Sus scrofa: one gene and its partner. The protein of the gene in region 1 purifies or fractionates together with the protein of each later gene. This does not show direct contact. Links are inferred from orthologs where the notes say so. Each region holds a gene or a part of one and is shown in the gene's direction. Other genes may lie near its edges. The genes, in order: TBC1D4 and YWHAE.

What was found.
Region 2: the proteins of TBC1D4 (region 1) and YWHAE purify together in Homo sapiens (affinity purification with mass spectrometry; 3 studies listed by BioGRID and IntAct, with this or other methods). This does not show direct contact. The link is inferred for Sus scrofa from reciprocal best matches to the Homo sapiens genes TBC1D4 and YWHAE.

What each region holds. Positions count from the first base shown.
Region 1 is NC_010453.5:47,627,333-47,631,144, reverse strand, and holds part of TBC1D4 (TBC1 domain family member 4), read left to right. Parts: intron 1-2,307; coding exon 2,308-2,895; intron 2,896-3,812.
Region 2 is NC_010454.4:47,642,433-47,646,949, reverse strand, and holds the start of YWHAE (14-3-3 protein epsilon), read left to right. Parts: upstream 1-1,622; 5' UTR 1,623-1,773; coding exon 1,774-1,837; intron 1,838-4,517. UniProt on the Homo sapiens protein: Adapter protein implicated in the regulation of a large spectrum of both general and specialized signaling pathways. Binds to a large number of partners, usually by recognition of a phosphoserine or phosphothreonine motif.

The sequences.
Region 1 (3,812 bases):
TTTTTAGGGCCACACCCTCGGCATAGGGAGGTTCCGAGGCTAGGGATCCAATTGGATCCCTATGCCACAGCAACGCCAGATCTGAGCAGGGTCTGCGACCTACACCACAGCTCAAGGCAATGCCGGATCCTTAACCCACTGAGCGGAGGCCAGGGATCGAACCCTTGTCCTCAGATACTAGTCGGGTTCATTAACTGTTGAGTCATGACAGGAACTCCAGTATTCCATTTTGTGTGAGTGTACTGCCTTTGGCTTATCTGTTCATTTTTTCTTCAGTTTTATCAAGATATAATTGACATAGAGCATTGTATTTAGTTCAAGGGGTACAACATGATGAGTTGATACGTGTGTATATTGCAAGATGATTACCAGAAATTGAGTTAACATCACTCTCCTCACATAAAGATTCACTGGCATCACATGGTTATGGATTTTTTTTTTCTTGTGATGGGAATGTTTAAGATCCACTCTCTTAGCAACTTCTGAATATACGGTATAGTATTATAACACTCTCGTCACCATGCTGTACCTTACATCCCCAGAACTTACTTGTAACTGCAAGTTTGTACCTTTTGACCACCTTCACCCATTCCTTCCTCTCCTGCCTCTGGCAACGGCCAGTCTATTCTCTTCATCTATGAGCTTGTATTTTTTCTTAATTTTTAAAATATTTTATTATTTTTTATTTTTTGGTCCTTTTATTTTTTAAGGGCAACACCTGCGGCATATGGAGGTTCCCAAGCTAGGGATGGAATCAGAGCCGTAGCCTCTGGCCTATGCCACAGCCACAGCAATGCCAGATCCAAGCCGTGTCTGTGACCTACACCACAGCTCACAGCAATGCTGGGTCCTTAACCCACTGAGCAAGGCCAGAGATTGAACCTGTGTCCTCATGGATGCCAGTCAGATTCGTTTCTGCTGAGCCATGATGGGAACTCCTATTTTTTTTATTTTTTAAGATTCCACATAACAGTGAGATCATACAGTATTTTCCTTTCTCATCTGACTTATTTCACTTAGCATAATGCCCTCTAGATCCGTCCATTTTGTTGCAAATGGCAGGATTTCCTTTTTTTTTGGCTAAATAATATTTATCACATTTTTAAAAAATCCATTCATCTTTTACTGGACACTTCGGCTGACTTCACTTGTGTCCATGTCTTGGCTATTGTGAAGAATGCTATGATGAACATGGAGGTTCGGGGAGCTCTTTAAGAGAGTGATTTTATTTCTTTTGAAGTGGGATTGCTGGATCATATGGTAGTTCTATTTTCAGTATTTTAGGAACCTCCATACTGTTTTCCACGGTGACTGCATCTATTTATATTTCTACCAACAGCGCACAGGGGTTTTCTCCCCTCCCCCTTCCTCCCCAGCACTCACTTTCTTTTGTCTTTTTGATGATAATCATCCTAACAGGTATAGGGTGATCCTTCATTGTGGTTTTCTTTGCGTTTCCTTGGTGATTAGTGAGTTTTCACTTGTGGAGGTATTGTGACTAAGGCTTCTATGAATATCTGTGTATAAGCCTTTCTGTGGACATATGTTTTTAAAGACTTTCAGCTCAATCTCTAGGAGTGGAATGACTGGGTCATGAGATAGATCTAGGTTTAACTCCTTAGCAACTGCCAGCCTCCTAAGGTGGTTGTGCTGTTTTTACATTTCTGCGTACAATGGCTGAGGGTTCCAGTTGCTCTGTATCCTGGTGGGCATTGGCCTTTTTGATGTTAGCATTGTAACAGGTGTGTAAATCACATCTTCCTATGGTTTTAATTTGCATCTTCCCTGATGGCTAATGCTGGGGGGGGGGGGTGTCTGGATCTTAATCTTTTCATCGAGAAAGTTAATTTTACCCTCATTGTTGAAACTTTGGGTTCCTTTCAGCTGAGGCTCGTAATAATTTATTTATCTCAGTCGTGGTTGGTACCTCAGTGTTACACTTTATTTTTAATTTAATTTTTAACCTTTTGACTCCTTATAATAACTTTTAAAAGTACTCAAAGGATATATGATGATTTACTAAAGATTGCTGTGGCCTATGTAGTCTTATGATTTTGTTTTCGGGAAATGATTACATTTAAAAGGGAAAAGTTTAAAGCTGATATCATAAAATTTCAGTCTGATCCCTAAATCATATATATCTGGTAGTATAATTTAAGTTTACACTTTATGTTATGTAGGGTCCATTCCTCTCTGCATTTTGTCATTTGGTATGAGAATGCAATCTGTGTGATAATAACAGGTCTAGGTAAACATAAATGATCCCTAAATACTCCACTGAAGTGAGGATTTGGAATTCTTTTCCAGGTTCCGGATGTCATCAGCAGCATAAGGCAGTTATCGAAAGCGGCCATGAAAGAGGATGCCAAGCCCAGCAAAGACAACGAGGATGCCTTTTACAACTCGCAGAAGTTCGAGGTCCTGTACTGCGGCAAGGTGACGGTGACCCACAAGAAGGCCCCGTCCAGCCTCATCGACGACTGCATTGAGAAGTTCAGCCTGCACGAGCAGCAGCGCCTGAGGGTCCAGGGCGAGCCCCGCCCCCCGGATGCGGGCGAGGACTCGGCGGCACTGGTGGCCGAGGCGCCCGCTCCCCTCGCGGACGCGCTGTCCGAGGAAGGGGACGGCGTCGCCGACACCCACCCGGTCTTTTCCTCCGCTCCCAGCCAGCCTGGACCGGCCAGCTCTCGCATCTGCTTCCCCGAGCGGATTTTGGAAGATTCTGCCTTTGATGAACAGCAGGAGTTCCGGTCCCGGTGCAGCAGCGTCACGGGTGTCCTGCAGAGGAAAGTTCACGAGAACAGCCAGAAGCCCCAGCCGCGGAGGAGGCACGCCAGCGCGCCCAGCCACGTCCAGCCCTCGGATTCGGAGAAGAACAGAACGATGCTGTTCCAGGTGCTGCCCTGGCCGCGAGCTCTCGGGGTGTTTCCCCCTCCTTTACTAGACGCAAGCGGCCGGGTGGCCAGCTCCTCCCAGTTCCTCAGTCTGCAAGCATCCAACTTTTCTGTCTTACCCCCTGGGAAGCAGAGCCGGTAGTGGACAAAGAGAGCAAACAAAGGAGAGTAGTGAAGGGGTGAGAGGCAGACATGGAGTGTAAGAAAAAAGGGAGCAGGGAGAGGAGGAGAAAGAAGCACTTAGAGGAGTGTCAGGGAAAGTTGGTGGGGAAATAAGAATAGATTACTCTTAGCATCACCAGCGTTTGCCTTAGCTTGATTCTTTTTTTTTTTTTTTTTGTCTTTTTGCCATTTCTTGGGCCGCTCCCTTGGCATATGGAGGTTCCCAAGCTAGGGGTCTAATCGGAGCTGTAGCTGCCGGCCTACACCACAGCCACAGCAACACGGGATCTGAGTCGCCTCTGCAACCTACACCACAGCTCACGGCAATGCCAGATCCTAAACCCACTGAGCAAGGGCAGGGATCGAACCCGCAACCTCATGGTTCCTAGTCAGATTTGTTGACCACTGAGCCACAACGGGAACTCCTTGATTCTTAAATAATTTTTTTTAAACGACTGCAGAAAGCCAACCTTATAAAGGGTCTGAAGATATAATTTGAAAGAGTGTGAATTGTCATGAGGAAAAGAGAGTTTTCTAGAGAGAAAAAAAAAAAGGTCCAGAGACTCATTGATGTATATTCAGATGAGAATACCCCAGTGTATTCTGTCACACAAGAGAGACAGTTAAAGAAACATCATAGACCTAATAATTTACTAGATCAGTTATTAAAATAATTGGGTACAAGCTATGTTATAGGTGTAAAAGACAATTCTTAATTCTAAAAAGTACTTTTTGGAGTTGTATAGGGTAGAAAAT
Region 2 (4,517 bases), on another chromosome or scaffold:
AAAGACAAAAAAATAAAAAAATAAAAAATAATCCATGAGTCAAAGAAATCACAAAGGGAAAAAAAAAATTAAAAAAAAACCTTCAATAGTCCAGCTCCTTTGCTGGCTCTCCTGCTTTGTCCTATCATCTAAAAGTAAGTATTCTCTAAGGTTTGTGTCTGTCCTCTTCTACCTCAATTGATCCTCTAGCTCCTTCCATTGCAGCGTCCCTACAGTTTGGAATGTTAGTCCCCCTTTTCCAATCCCATGGATATTACTCCTACTTGGGCATTCTTTTTTTTTTTTTTTTTTTTGCCATTTATCGGGCCGCTTCCAGCGGCATATGGAGATTCCCAGGCTAGGGGTCCAATCGGAGCTGTAGCTGCCGGCCTATGCCAGAGCCACAGCAACTCGGGATCCGAGCCGCGTCTGCGACCTACACCACAGATCACTCCAATGCCGGATCCTTAACCCACTGGGCAAGGTCAGGGATGGAACCCGAAACCTCATGGTTCCTAGTCGGATTCCTTAACCACTGAGCCACGACGGGAACTCCTACTTGGGCAGCCTTTGAGAACCTTATAACCAACTGTGATAAAAGGAACTCGTCTTTCTCCGCATTCCATCTGAAAATTTTCCTAGCATTCTTATTTTTTTTGTTAATGGTACCATTTAGTCTCTTAGTGACTAGGTAGGGAAGATAGAAGGTCAATTTAATCCCCCCCCCCCACATCTGATTAACTACAAACTCTTCGTAGTTTCTCTCTTAGCACTATCTCCATTTGTCCTTTCCTATTTTCATTGTGGTCATATTACCTTTTGCCTGTATTATTGTAATAGCCTGATCATTTATTCTGCTCTTTAATCACTGCTATACAATAATCTTTTTAGAGAATAACGATGGTGTCATCCACCATGAAAAATCATCAAAAAATAATTTCCTTGTGGCCACTGAATAAGGCGCAAACTTCCCAGCATGCCATCCAAGCTTCTTCATAACTTGGTTCCAACCTTTTAATACACATTTACCGCAGACACTACCAAACAGCTTATATTCTAATTACCTGAACTTCAGTCTTGCAACACATACTGTACGAATACAAGATGTTAGGAATCCACTGGGAAGCCAAACATCAGGTCGTTTCCCTTTCCTGCCTCCTGATCGCAATGTGATCTTGCTCCTACTCTCCTGCACCTTAGGTGCTCCAGACCAGGATCCCCTAACAACTTCCCTGTACCGATCCATGGTGGGCCCAAGGGGAAAAAGAAGGCTTAAGGAGAAGTAAAGAAAGATTGCGAAGTAAGAAGCTGAAGTGTGAAGTCCTCGTTCCGCATTTGGCTACAGAAGAGCCCAACTCTTTACCCTGGGGTTAAAAGGGTCTGAGTAAGATCCAGGACTGCCTTTACCATTACCAAAATCGTTACTGCCGCTAGTTTCTCTGCCCGTAGTCCAGCTCTTTCGTTCACTCTCTCGCCTGGCTTCCCTCACTTCCTTGGGGAGCTTTCCCACTATGCAGTCGCAGTTCCCGCTTCCAACCGCCCCTAAGCCCACGGAGGAGGGGCGTCTAGTAGGTTCCAGCCTCTTCGGGCGCTGAGCTCCCAGACCCGCCCCCCCGCGCCAGTTGCCAGGGAGCGGTTGCCATAGAGCTGAGCAGTTGTCCGCGTGCGCAGGCGGAAGTCCCGGATTGAGGCGCCGCCATTTTTGCTGCCCGGTCGCGGAGCGAGAGGCTGAGAGAGTCGGAGACGCTATCCGCTTCCATCCGTCGCGCAGACCCTGCCGGAGCCGCTGCCGCAATGGATGATCGGGAGGATCTGGTGTACCAGGCGAAGCTGGCCGAGCAGGCTGAGCGATATGACGGTGAGTTGGGGGGGGAACGGGGGGCTGGAATTCTAGGACCCTCTGCCGCCGCCCACAGAGACCAGGACCAGGAGACAAAATGGCGGCATCGTCTCCTAGCCTGGCCCGGGGAGGTGGATTTGGGAAGCAGGCAATGGCCTGTAGGCTTTCAGAGCCGCAGGAGGCTCCAGACTCAGGATTTTGACTCCTTCGGCGTTCTCAGCTGCAGACACTCGGGAGCCAGGAGGCCGGGGCGTTAGGGTGGAGGAGTTGGTTGTAAAATGGCGGCTGGGGGGGAGGGCGAGTCCCGGGGCGGGGGAGGGGGAGGAGATGGCGGGTGCTGTCTCCCAGCGAGCAATCCCCAGGGGAGCCTCGGGGCAGTTCTTGGGACGTGGTGAACAATTGGGTGGCGTGACGAGGGAAGAAACACCCGCCACATGGGGGAGAGTGGCGACCGGGAGCGCGGGCGCCTTTCAGGGAAATATGGCGGGTGGGGGCGGTGGCTTTTCCCCAGAGGCCCAATGTGGGGCGGCGGCTGTGTAGTCTCACAAAGGAGAACCCTTGCGAGCGGAGGGCTCCTTTGGGTTTGGGGTGGGGGGCAGTCTCGGATGAGGGTGGGGAGAGCGAGGGGAGAGTGGGAATCACTGCAGTTCATCCTTGGGCGGAGGCCAGCCGAGATGCTACGTTCGGATTTCCTTCCCGTAGACCAGCACACCTTGTAGTGGGGTTTTTTAGGCTTTCCGTTCAACCTCGCCTTGTTCTGGGGAGGTCTAGAAAAATCTCTCTCACGCTCCCTTTCCTCAAACTTAACCTGCAGAGTTCGAAGTTCCTGGTAATCATTTTCTGGCTTCATAAGCTGTGGGTTCTGGTGGATAGATAGAACATTGAACAGGAAACAAGGAGATGATGAATTTTAGTTCCTCTCCTATTCCCGTGCCTCAATCTATCAGTATTTAAAAATGACGACTTTCCTGTTTACACGCGGCATTACGACAAATGGAAAGACCTGTTGGAAAATCAAGTTTTTTCAAATAACGTTTAGTAACTGTATTTTAGTTGCCTTCCTTGGCTTGGAATGCGTGATCGTACTTAACCTATCCCAAAGCACTCAGCAGAGATTTGGGTTTTTGAATTAAGACCGTAAGGAATCCCAGTAGATCTTATTTTCTTTTCTCCGTTTTAAGTAAATGGTTTCATGCACAGATTTGAGCAGTTCTTTGTTCCTTGCTCCTTTTCCCCTAAAGGCTCTGTAGTCATTTTTCAGAACTTCTTCGAAATGGCCACTGTGTCTTTTTAGTCGGTTCTAGGCTGCTTTTTTTATTGCCCCTCTCGTTGTGGGTCTCCTGCCCCCGCCCATTTTGGATCTAGGTATGTGAATTACTCCCACATCTTTTAAACTGGCATTATCATAACAAAAAATCCTATGTATGTTTTTTGTGGTTTTTATACTTTTGTGGCGTAAGACGGGGTTGGAATCAAGTGTCAATGAATAGATTTTTCTTCATGAAGCCACTTTTTTCCCCAAAATGTCGTGTGGAGACCTTGCTTTCCTTGAATGCCTGTTTGGTCATGTGAATAGTCTCAGGGCTGGTCCTGGCGTATCTTCATTAGGAGTCAGGAATTTGAAAATTACTAGAAAAGACCTCGAACTCAAATTTAGGAAGGTTACTACTTCTATTTTGTAAATCCTTCAATTGCTATTTGTATTGAACAAGATTCCTGTGGAAAGGGGGAGGGGAAAAGATGGGGAAGTACAGCTCAAGGTCAGTTTTGTCTTTATTTCACTGTTGAAAAGCGAACTAATGTAGGTGTGCTTGGAATGGAAGTTTTTCTCTTCTCCCCCCCTCCTGTCCCAAATAGGTTCCTCTCTTAATACACCAATGCCCTTAGGGAGGAAACTTGAAATTATATCGGAATGCTTTCTGTTCTTTAGGGATTTATAGGCTCTGGCTGTGATCACCAAAGAGGACGTGGAGGGAGCTTTTTTTTTTTTTTTTAAGAACTTGTTTTAAAAAGTGGTTTGGAAGTTCATGATTGTAGCTTTCACGTAAGTGACAGTTTAGTGATAATAATGTATTGGTTTTGAGTGTTTGAGGATTTTTGACCAAAGGCCTTATTATTTAGCACAGGATCCGTATTCTTAAGGTTGTTTAAACGTTAGGAGTGTCCTTCAGAATCTAAAGGGAGGTAGGGAATATAGGATCTACCAGTTTGGAGAGAATGTCCGTGACTGTTGGGTACAAGACAGAGAGGGATTCATTGGAAAGGGAGAAGAGGAAGACACTCCTTAGGAATCAGCCTCTACCTGTGACCACTCCTTTATTGGATATAATAATTCAGTTTTGTTTCTGGTGACAAAAAGTGATTTTATAGTTGTAGTTAGCAAATAATTTATCAGGCATGGGGAAAGTGAAGAGTGCATTTGAATGACTTGGCTTGGTGTAGTTGGATATAAATGTTGGCTTTTCTTCTTGTTCCTGTAGTACCTTTGTCTTTTATTTTGCATGTTATGTTGAATCTATTAAACTTTTTTAGTAGCATCATTGAACTCTGACCTGGGGAATTGGAATCAATTGATATGGATTATTTAATGGTACTGGAGGATGAGCTAAGCTGTGTTCAGGAAAAGGACAATTTTGGGTTGCAGATAGGAAGTAAGTTTGGGGCTAGGACTGTTAATTTTAAAGATTAAATCATGTAA